3 linked regions of the Rattus norvegicus genome follow. The protein of the gene in region 3 purifies or fractionates together with the protein of the main gene of each other region. This does not show direct contact. Links are inferred from orthologs where the notes say so. Each region holds a gene or a part of one and is shown on either strand. Other genes may lie near its edges. The genes, in order: Cops6, Cul4b and Dcaf4.

Region 1 (4,346 bases), on a different chromosome or scaffold from region 3:
ATTGGTCCAAAGCACATATGTCCATGACTATGATTGGTTAAAAAAGAAAGAAAAAAAGAAAGAAAGGAAGGAAGGAAGAAAAACAGGCTGTTATTGGCCCCAAATGAATGACTGTGGGCCAAATGCTCTTTCTTGACTTTTTTTTTTTTTTAAAGATTTATCTATTACATATTACAAGTACACCATATCTGTCTTCAGACACACCAGAAGAGGGCATCAGATCTCATTATAGATGGTTGTGAGCCACCATGTGGTTGCTGGGATTTGAACTCAGGACCTCTGGAAGAGCAGTCAGTGCTCTTAACTGCTGAGCCATCTCTCCAGTCCCTTTTTCTTGACTATTAAAGGAGGTTGCTTAGCCTCAGTTATTGATCCAAGTGGGAAACATACTTGTCTTAATCACTGTTCTATTGCAGTAAAGAGACACCATGACCAAGGCAACTCTCCCCCAACCCCTATATTGTGAGAGTTTGTGTAACCTTGGCTGTGATGGAATTCACTTTGTTGGCCAGGCTGGCCTTGAACTCAAGAAATCTGCCTGTCTCTGCCTCGCTAAGTGCGAGGATTAAAGGCATGGGCCACAAGCCTTCCCAGTAGCAGTCACTAGGTTGTGTAGAATCAAGTTGCCTTGCAACTGAAGAAGCAGCTGAACAGTTGGAGTAATCCACTGGGGAGACGGCTCGGGGGATAAAGTGCTTGCTTTGTAAGTGTTAGGAACCGACTTTAGATCCTCAGTTCACCGTTTCAATATTTTTATTTATTTGTTTTATATGAGTACACTGTTGCTGCCTTCAGACCCACCAGAAGAGGGCATCAGATCTCATTACAGATGGTTGTAAGCCACCATGTGGTTGCTGGGAATTGAACTCAGGACCTCTGGAAGAGCAGTCAGTGCTCTCAACCACTGAGCCATCTCTCCAGCCCCCCTGCTCACCGTTTTAAAAACAAGGCAGGCTGGGCACGCTGCACACCTTGAATCTCAGCACTCAGGAAGTAGAGGCAGGTAGATCTCTTTGAGTTTGAACTCAGCCTAGATGAATAGCAAGTTCCCAGCCAGCTGGGCAACACGGTTAGACCGCAGTTCAACAAACAAGTGACCATGTCACTATAGATTATATGCAACGTGAAAAATGTTATATCCTTAATAAATTACAGCGTTTCCTCTTTTTGATCGCAATTTTCTCTGCGTCTAGTATTGACAAAGTATCCCCTTTGAGACCTGGAAACTAACAGCCCTACTTGGGAGGTAAAGGCAAGAGACCAAAAGTTCAAAGTCATTCTTAGATACACAATACAGAACTCATGGCCAGGCCGGTTTTCATGAGAACCGGTAGCAGCAACACAACACAACACAACACAACACAACACAACACAACACAACACAACACAACACAACACAACACAACACAACACAACACAACACAACACAACACAACACACTGAGAACCATGGGCTACCAAGTACTGGCAGACGCCCCGCCCATTAGCAACACAGAGTACACACTGAGCATGCGCCGCTCGCCGACGGAAGCCGAGATGGAAAGGGGCGGGCCGTGGCTGGCGGGCGCGGGGAAAATGGCGGCGGCGGCGGCGGCGGCTGCGGCGGCGGCGGCGGCGGCGGCGAACGGGAGCGGAGGCAGCAGCGGCATGGAGGTGGATGCAGCAGGTAACGGGGTGCAGGGAACGACTTCTGGAGTCGCCCTTGCGGAGTGTCTTGAGTACTTCTTAAGCCCGGGAGAAGCGACATCTCTCCCAGGATAACTTGAGGGCAGGGATGAACGGCCCGGCTCTACCGGTCCTCTGCTCCCATGTCTAGGGGAGAATGTGTGGGCCCGAACTCTCACCCGCTATGTTTTTCTTTCACTTTTAACAGTCCCCAGCGTGATGGCCTCCGGAGTGACTGGGAGTGTTTCCGTCGCTCTTCATCCCCTTGTCATCCTCAACATCTCAGACCATTGGATCCGCATGCGCTCCCAGGAGGGGCGGCCTATGCAGGGTGAGTGTTGTGTGTAAATCTCAAAATTTCCTCTTGGAGATCTCCTCTTGGAGATCTCCTCCAGTCCCTCCCCCCGCCCCCTTTTCCAAATTACTGTTTCCCCAGTCATTAATACACACTGACTTCAGAGTCTCGGGAAAGGTTTTCGATGCTTGAACCTCACCTATTTTCCTTGCACTTCTGCTTCTCTCTCCTTAGTGATTGGGGCTCTGATCGGGAAGCAGGAGGGGCGAAATATCGAAGTGATGAACTCCTTTGAGCTGCTGTCTCACACCGTGGAAAAGAAGATTATCATTGACAAAGAATATTATTACACCAAGGAGGAGCAGTGTGAGAAGGGAATAGAAGTGGGCGGGAAGGAGAAGTGGGGAGATTTTTGTTTTGTATTTAGAATAGAAAGGTATAGTTATGCTAAACTGACCCAAAATTTGAGGGAGGGAGGAAGGGAAAAGCCGGTAAGGAAACACACCAGGTCCATCAAACTCAGGAAGAGAGGTTTAAAGAAATATTTACTCTGGCCCCTTCTTCTCCAGTTAAACAGGTTTTCAAGGAGCTGGAGTTTTTGGGTTGGTATACCACAGGGGGGCCACCTGACCCCTCAGACATCCACGTCCATAAGCAGGTATAAAAGCTCACATGTGTGCATGTTGGGGAAGAGAACAGAAGGTTATGGGAAGAAGAGATACTGACTTTTTTTGGGCTTTGTCTTCTAGGTTTGCGAGATAATTGAGAGTCCTCTCTTTCTGAAGTTGAACCCTATGACCAAGCACACAGATGTGAGTATTGTTGACCCTATGACCCCTTTGTCTTGATCATCTGCCCCTATATGCCTCTGCTCTGATTTACTCTGTGACATCATGTGTATTAGAGAACGCTTGAGTTGAATCTCCACGCTGCTGTTTACTTACGCCCATCAGTTGTGTAACTTCATCTCTTCAGTGGTGTCGCCATATGTAATGTGGGTAAAACTTACTCCAGTAGAGAGAAAATTGTGAGCTAAGTGTGGCAACAACACTTGTAATCAATTTTAGCACTCAGGAGATTGAGGCAAGAGAATTGTGAGTTCAAAACCAGCCTGGCAAGTTCAAGTGCATTTGCTTCTAGTAAGAGCTGTTCTCTTGTCTCCGTCTGTTTTTACAGCTGCCTGTCAGCGTTTTTGAGTCTGTCATCGATATAATCAATGGAGAGGTAATAGTTACCCTGCAATCTTCAAATCCTGCTTTAGCCTGTCTCCTAAATGCTGTGCACATGTGCACAGGCATGGGGCAACCCTGGGTGTTTGTCGTAGCTTTCTACCTGGAGACAGAATCTCGTGTTTGCCAGGCTGGTTGACCTGTGAGCTTCTGGGATTTGTCTTCACTTCCCATTTTGCTGTAGAAGTTCTGGGATTATAGACACATGCTGCCACATCTTGATCCTTAGTCTCGTGCAGCAAGCGCTCTACCCACTGAGCCGTCTGCCCAGCCCTGTTTCCTTGCTGAGAACCCTTTACTCTGCAGGCCACAATGCTGTTTGCTGAACTCACTTACACTCTGGCCACTGAGGAAGCTGAACGTATCGGTGTAGACCATGTGGCCCGGATGACAGCTACAGGCAGTGGGGAGAACTCCACTGGTAAGGGGGTTGAATTCAGTTCTTTGGAGGTATGGGTTGGGTGTGGCCACTTGCTACCTTTCATTTGTCCTGTCCCCCTGCAGTGGCTGAACACCTCATAGCTCAGCACAGCGCCATCAAGATGCTGCACAGCCGTGTGAAGCTCATTTTAGAGTACGTCAAGGCCTCTGAAGCAGGTAGGAGAGGTACCTCACCTTTAACCATCTTTCCTCCCTCCTGGAGAAGTGACAACATCCACATCAGTGCAGCCTCATTGTGCCCTTAGGAGAGGTTCCCTTCAACCATGAGATCCTGCGGGAGGCCTATGCCCTATGCCACTGTCTTCCAGTTCTCAGCACTGACAAGTTCAAGACAGACTTTTATGATGTGAGTGTTAATACCCTTGATGGGGAGGTGGGGCTCACAACCACCTCAGGCAGGTGAAACTCAGTGTCATTGGCTAATATGAGGGACCCCTGGGGAACTGGTTCTTTCTGTTCCCTCCCAGCAATGCAATGACGTGGGGCTTATGGCCTACCTCGGCACCATCACCAAAACGTGCAACACAATGAACCAGTTTGTGAACAAGTTCAACGTCCTGTATGACCGACAAGGCATCGGCAGGCGGATGCGGGGACTGTTTTTCTGATGAGGGCTCTTGGAAGGGATGCTGTATGGGGCTCAGACAACTGTGCCACGGGACTGAGCACTTTCCCCTTAGAGAAACTCACTAATAAAGAACAGCCCCTTAGCAGCCC
Region 2 (3,648 bases), on a different chromosome or scaffold from region 3:
AAAAGAAAAAAAAAATCAAGCAATTTTTGTAAATTTGAAACTACAATATTAGCTCTTAATGAGAATTTGGAAAATTTTATATTAAATAGGCTAATAGGATCCAACTTGCAAACAAATATATCTAGCTGAGAATATGTCCCATATATTTATTTTTAAACTAATCTATTAATCCTTCTTGTGGTTTCTAGAGAACACAGAATTAAGATGGTCCTCTGAGATCTTTGCTACTTAAATAACTAAAAAGAAAAACTGGAGGTAGGCATGGGACATATGCCTATAATCCCAGCAACTCAAGAGCCTAAGACAGAAAGATCTTGAAATTTCGGGCCAGTCTGTACTACACAATGAGATCTTGTCTCAGAAAAAAAAAAGAGGGAATCTAAGGTACACTTAGTCTTTCTTAGCAGCAGTGCTAGGGGGTAAAACTCTCTTAAACTTGTACCCATGGTGTTTAGGAGGTGGGAAGTGGGTTTCAAGATTTCTATTTGCATTAATATAAAGAATAAACACCAGACTTTCCCACCAGCTGTATCCCAATACGTCCAACAAGATATCCAAACATTCTAGCACCTAAATGTTTTTGCAATGAAATAATCAGTCTTGTTTCCAACTCACCATTTGCCTACAATGATTTTGCCAGCATCTATCAATCTTTTTTAGAAAAAGAACACTATCCAATGAATCCATGAGACAGATGTTAAGAATATTTTAAAATGTATCATATAAGTAATATGTGTAATATAAAACGTATTTGTCTTAAAATATAGACTACCCCATAAACTGATAATACAAATTATAAAACACAATTCTAATTTTTAAACTGCAGAAACAAATTTGATCCCCCTTAACGTATCTTTAAAACCAGTCTTAAACCTAACTGAGCATGTTTTTTATTTATGATTTCCCTCAAATAGAAATTTGTCAGGACAGAGGCTAATGACAGGAAATTTTTACTTAAAAACTGTAAGTATAGATCTTAACTATAATTGACACTGAAATGTTTTAAAACTTTGTTCTTTCCTTCAGAGATAAGAGGACAAAAATAAATCTTTCAGCACAGGCATTCCATTTCAAACTGAGCCAAGCAGTGAGAGGTAATGAGTAATGAAAAAACTTAAGATACTTTGTTTTGAGGGGCTCAAGAGATGGCTCAGCAGTTAAGAGTACTGGCTGTTCTTCCAGAGGTCCTTACATTTCTAACAACCACATGGCTGCTTCCATGTACAATAGAGTCTACTACCCTCTTCTCTCTGATGCCCTCTTCTGTCATACAGGCATACATGTTAAGTAGAACATACATAAAATACATACATAAATAAATGTGACATTTTGTTTTAAAAAGGATATTCTCTGAACTGATGAATCTGTGCTTTGATGTGATCTTCACAGATCTGCCTCAGCTGCTTATACAAATTGGCAGAAATCTTGTAAGAACAAAGATTTTCTACAGCCTGTAAGATAAAACAGGTAATTTTGTAGGACAGGAGAGAGTTGGGGTAGGGGTCTCAATTATCACATGAAGTCATGATTTTTTATACATTGTATCAGCTCATTGAAAATAAAGTATTTGTCAATTTTAAAAAGCAAAAGAATGGAATCAACCCAGAATGCCGAAGCGGGAGTATTAGGAGTTTTGTGCTAGCCTAGAAAACTTTACTTACACAGACACACTCAGGATTAAACAAGAAAATTGACCAATGTGGGTGAAAACCAAGATAAGTCCACATTTGTATGTTTATGAGGGCTATACTAAAAGTAAAGGCTGAAGAGAATCATGCAAAGTTTTGTACTACATACAAAAGCATTCTTGTTACAAATAATTTTCATAAGCAGAATGCATTAAATTTAAAAATAATTTTGCCTGTTTTGTATGTATGAGATGGGCCAGAAATGACTACTATAACTCAAGTAAAACTAATAGTTCCTTGGATATTCCTGAATACAATAAAGTGGAAATTATTGCTAGCAGTGTTTAAACCAGTGTGATATAATTAAACACTATGACATTTTCTCCAATTTTCAGTTTATAAATAATTGAAAATAGGGACTGCAAATTGGGCTTAGTGGTAGAATATTTGCCTAACCAGCTTGAATCCCCAGAATTCATACTCTTAACAACAGAATGAATATATTTTTACTTCATTAGAATACTTGAATTTATCCTCAAATCTTAACAAGTTCAGATTTTGTGTTTATTATGTGTATCAAAAGTCTTTCAAAGGGCTGGAGAGATGGCTCAGTGGTTAAGAGCACTCAGTGCTCTTCCAGAGGTCCTGAGTTCAATCCCCAGCCACCATATGGTGACTCAAAACCATCTGGAATGAGATCAGATGCCCTCTTCTGGTGTATCTGAAGACAGCTACAGTGTACTCATATATAATAAATAAATAAACCTTTTAACAAAAAAGTCAAGTTTAAAACAACAGGTGTGGTCACTCTAATGTTAACCACAATTGGTAATGGCTTAAGTGTAACACCAAGATTCCTCTCATGCCACAATGGAAGACAAAAACCCCATTCCATTAAAAAGGACTGGGGAAGTCCAAACTCTGTTGGTCTGAGTGGAATTTTGTAAACAGTGTAGCTAGAAGTCACATTGCTAGAATGCAAGTTCAGTGATCCCATTTTTTTTTAAAAATAAAGCTTAAAAAGGAACTTCCTTATTCCACTGGAGGAAAACCATCAATCCTCAACAGGAGAGAATAGACCCATCAGCTTTAACAGCTATGAACAAATAGGAAAAAGACAGATTCAGTTACAATCCATGTAACCTGGGGTTAGGAAACAAATATCTAAGAGTGAACTTGTTTATTTCATGTGCTCCTCTATTCATACTGATCCTAGATGGGGTGTCCTCCTCCCTTTATGGCACTTTTTACTGTATCTTGTTTTTTGAATGGCTGACTCATTTTCTCAAGCATTTCTCATTTCCTACTTACGTTGTCAATGACATAATACACACTTCATTTTTTACTTTCCCTATTTTTTATTCTTCAATACATTCTATTTATCCTACTTCCTTCTGAGTTCTCCTTTATCTCATAAAACAGTTCTTGACACATCTATTATCTTTTCCCACAAGATACACATTTTCTATTTCTATTAAACTGGGTACCACTTCTTCCAAATAAGGTAACTCCTTTCACTGTCACAGATTTGCCTAATGCTCCCACCACCCACCACACCTCAGTAAATCAATACTCTTGCTTTTTATATGTATATCCTGTCTCCTTGATTTTGCTTAATGGCAGTGATCACACAGTCCTAAGCTATTTTTTAACACTTTGACTTTTACAGTATATGTATGTCAATAATGAATTATACCCTGCATACTAGAATGAAAACCATGATCAGAATACTATAGTGTAAGCTAAGTATGTTTATAGTCAAAGATAAAGCTCCCTATTACAGCCTTTAGGAGAAGGAAGTTAGGAAAAGTATCCAAGTCTACCAAAGACCCAGAGAGAAATATATAGAATACTAATGAGAATAATAAAAAACCAAAAACAAAGCTGAGCTTTACATTCAAAGTGACTAATGATTCATTCAACGAAAAGGAAATATGCAACAGAATAAGTTGGGTAAGTCAGGTGTGGTGGTCATGCCTGTAGTCCTACATTGAAATAAGAATTAAATAAAGTTCTATGT
Region 3 (3,648 bases):
GGGATGCTGGGTCTGCCTGGTGACCCATGAGCGTATATCAGCAGTAGAACAGGTGGACCCTGGGGCCAGACTTCTAGGGCCCAACGCTATCCCTAGCCACTACACTTTAAGTCCCAGATGTCTGGCACATAGGAACTTGACCATCATCCTAGAAACAGCCACCTCTGTACCTCGGTTCCTTATGGAGACTCCCTGTTGTGGACCCAGGTGTGGTCTTTCCCTAAAAGGTGAGACACCCCTCTCTGCCACCTCCACAGATGCTCAGGTCCAGACCAGGGCATGGCTGTCTACTAAACCCTTTTGTCTGCGGAAGGATACAGAATGTGGGAGTCCAAGTGATTGAGTGAGGCCCAGCACACAGAGTTCACCTGCGGGGAGCGGGAGAGAGAGACTAGGGTGACTGCTGACCACAGAGAACAGCGGCAAAATGCTTTCCTAGAAGACGGCTGGAAGGGACCGCAGAGATGGCTCAGCACGCGCTGCTTTTACGGAGGACCAGAGTTTGGGTCCCAGCTCCGTGAACACTAACTCCCTCTTCTGGACACACAGATACATGTGCCCAGGTATGCACACACACATACACGTCCCTTAAAATTGAAGAGGAAAAAAAGGAAGGAAGAAGGAGAAAAGGGAGAGAGAAAGAGAGAAAGGACAGACTTGTAGAGGCACAAACTCACGACGCCTCCACTCCCTGCAATGCTGAGACCAAACGCAAAGCTCTGAACATGCTAGGCAAACACTCTACCACTAAATCACCCTTAATCTGACATGTGATTTCCTTCTTCAGGTTTTGCTCTTAAAATGGGCTGCAAGGAGCATCCTGAGGATGGTGGAGCTCCCTGTGCAGATCTCTTAGGTCTTGAGGGGAACGGGAAGGAGTAAACTCCAGGCTTCAGTTCTTGCAAATCAGCATGGGTCCCAAGCTAAGGTATCTGTCAACAGCCCCCTCCCCCAAGCTAGACCTGTATTCTCTTATTTTTTTTTTAAAGATTTATTTATTTATTATATCAAAGTATGCTGTAGCTGTCTTCAGACACACCAGAAGAGGGCATCAGATCCAGATCTCATTATGATGGTTGTGAGCCACCATGTGGTTGCTGGGAATTGAACTCAGGCCCTCTGGAAGAGCAGTCAGTGCCTTTAACCACTGAGCTATCTCTCCAGCCCTTTGGTTGTTTTTTCAAGACTTATTTATTTGTATCCTCTATTTTTACAGGACCAGGAAACAAACCTAACTTTTAACCAAAGGTTAACCCTTTAGGGTTTTCTTTCTTTCCTTCCTTTCTCCGCCTCCTCTGAGACAGAAAAAGGTACAGCTAGGCTCACCTTGTAGCACAGGCTAGCCTTCGGCCAACAGCGACCCTCCAGTCTCAGCCTTCTGTGTGCTGAGTGAGATCACAGCTACCACACTGGGCTCCTCAAGCCATTTTTACCAGTGTCTCGCTCGTGGCTTATGTCTTAGTGAACAGGAAGTCACTGCCTTAGATGCAACATAAAGGCTATGAGATGGAGTACCTGACATTTTGGGATGCCCAGCGAAGGAACCTATCTAGGCTGTGATGGCTGTATTCCAGGAACCACACCCCTCCAGATCAGTTCTGATCCTTCAGAAAAGAATCTCGAATGGCCACTGAAAGCACCCTGCCTTGAGCTCACCCCAACCACCTAAACTTCTCTTCAGATGTTACGGCTCTCTGGGACTTGCTCATCCCGTGGCCTCTCAGGAATTAGCAAACCATCTGTCCCTTGGAAAATGAGATGGATCCTTCAGTCTTCACCAGGCCGTTTTCCCTTTCCCTCTCTGAATTCAGCCAACTACAGCAGTGGCCTAGGTCCAAAGGCAAGAGCTAGAAGGTGGAGACAGGACCTACCTTCCTGTTGGTAAAGTACAGGTTCTCGTGCATGTGCACCTCGAACGTGGGGGCCTTCAGACCCTGCAGGCTGATGATGCCGTACTTGGAGCCTCCGATTTTGACGTCATTCACCGTGAAGAGGCGGTCACTGGTAGTGTCTGCCTGGAGGGAAACAGGCTGCAGGTGATCTCTCATGTGGGCTGCCTAAGCTCCTCTCCATGAAGGAGTAAGGCAGGGACCCACCTTAGCTCCCACTCGGTGACTACACTCCAGCAAAGTGATCTCCCAGAGTCTGCCCTGCCATCTCTGAGGCACTGAAAAGATGGCAAAATGAGGGCCTGACCAGGAAGTCTGGTGACCTTAGTGACCACCTCAGAAACAAGTCTGGGAGGACCATACCATGTGGCCACCATAAAACCCACAAAGAGCTCTGAGTCCTAGACAGCTACATAGTGAGACCCTGCCTCATTTAATTTAAATATACAACAAAGGACCGACCTGTAATCCCAACACTCAGGAAGCTAATTATGGCAGGGGAACTGAGTGTGAGCCAGGCTGAAGTAGAGTTTCCTTGTCTTAAAAAGCCCCGTTAAGTTTCCTCTGATAAAAGTCTAAACAGACACACACACTGGTGAAATTCCTCCTACAGTCTTGAAGAGTTATGTGCCTGGATGTACCCACCAATGATGGGAATCAAGTGGGTCAAAACACCTTCCCAGTCCTCTGGCTGGCTCTGGGTACTACCCAGCTGGTCACATGGGATGCTGGGTCACAGGACGGCTGCTCTACCACAGGCACATTGCTAGGGAAGGAGCTCGAGGGGACCCATGGCAGCAAAGTGCCTGCTGTCCCGTCACCAGGCCCTCAGGAGGGCTGAGCAGCAGAGACTGGGGCCTGACCCCAATACTTCTTTCTGCTGTCGGGGCTCCTGGACCAGGAGGCCTCAACATGGGCCTCAAGGGTCACTCTACTTTAGCCTCCCATCTTCCCAACCGATCACTGCCTCCATGGTCTCATCTCAGCCTCAAGGCTTTCCCTTGGCCTCCAGGAAGGATGACAAGCGCTCAGGGGGCCCATGGAAGAGGGAGGGCATGCTCTGGCTCCTTAACAATGCATACCTGACCCTAGACTCTGGTAGTTGGACTTGATTTCCACTCCAGGTCTCAGTGAATACAGAGACTTTCCACTTCCAATAAATAGTGTGATGGAGGTACGAACGGCCCTGCCACTGAAGTCAGGGACATTGAGCGAAGGAACCCACCATGCTGCAGCTGATGGCACCTGGATCCTGCCCACACTGTGCACAGCCGGAGAGAATACACTGTTTGTCGTATGTGGCCAGACCCAGGTTTATTTCACAGGATGGGACTGAAGGGTGAGTGATGGACATACACATACACACACACCCACACATACCCCTTAAAAACAACAACAAAACCCCACCAAACCAAAAGACATCTTTTTTTTCCCCCACGTAATCAGCATCTTGTTAGCCAGGCTTAGTGAACACAACACCAAGCCAGAAATGGCAGCCACAGACACCGACAGACACCTCTCACTCACCAGGATGAAGTTAAAGCGGTCACTCGCCAGAGCTGAAGGGTCTGAGCTCTGAATCTCTACCTTTTTCCTCTCCATGCAGGCCACCCGAAGCTCGTGGGAGAGACTGGACAGGGAGACAGAAACGGGAGGGCATGGACACCATGGCCAGACACCTGAGTGCCATGCAGGTGTGTCTGTCACCTGTTCCCACCAGCTGTGGGGAGATGGCTCGAGTTCAGAAGCTCAAGGCCAG

The links.
Region 1: the proteins of Dcaf4 (region 3) and Cops6 purify together in Homo sapiens (affinity purification with mass spectrometry; 4 studies listed by BioGRID and IntAct, counting the BioPlex papers as one, with this or other methods). This does not show direct contact. The link is inferred for Rattus norvegicus from reciprocal best matches to the Homo sapiens genes DCAF4 and COPS6.
Region 2: the proteins of Dcaf4 (region 3) and Cul4b purify together in Homo sapiens (affinity purification with mass spectrometry; 9 studies listed by BioGRID and IntAct, counting the BioPlex papers as one, with this or other methods). This does not show direct contact. The link is inferred for Rattus norvegicus from reciprocal best matches to the Homo sapiens genes DCAF4 and CUL4B.

The regions. Positions count from the first base shown.
Region 1 is NC_086030.1:22,151,155-22,155,500, forward strand, and holds the start of Cops6 (COP9 signalosome complex subunit 6), read left to right. Parts: upstream 1-1,533; 5' UTR 1,534-1,535; coding exon 1,536-1,665; intron 1,666-1,872; coding exon 1,873-1,995; intron 1,996-2,193; coding exon 2,194-2,325; intron 2,326-2,528; coding exon 2,529-2,617; intron 2,618-2,708; coding exon 2,709-2,771; intron 2,772-3,135; coding exon 3,136-3,183; intron 3,184-3,494; coding exon 3,495-3,609; intron 3,610-3,692; coding exon 3,693-3,785; intron 3,786-3,874; coding exon 3,875-3,975; intron 3,976-4,096; coding exon 4,097-4,237; 3' UTR 4,238-4,346. UniProt on the Homo sapiens protein: Component of the COP9 signalosome complex (CSN), a complex involved in various cellular and developmental processes.
Region 2 is NC_086039.1:122,171,703-122,175,350, forward strand, and holds part of Cul4b (cullin-4B), read right to left. Parts: intron 1,452-3,648; coding exon 1,348-1,451; intron 686-1,347; coding exon 616-685; intron 1-615.
Region 3 is NC_086024.1:108,902,894-108,906,541, reverse strand, and holds part of Dcaf4 (DDB1- and CUL4-associated factor 4), read right to left. Parts: intron 3,520-3,648; coding exon 3,417-3,519; intron 2,016-3,416; coding exon 1,872-2,015; intron 369-1,871; coding exon 319-368; intron 1-318. UniProt on the Homo sapiens protein: May function as a substrate receptor for CUL4-DDB1 E3 ubiquitin-protein ligase complex.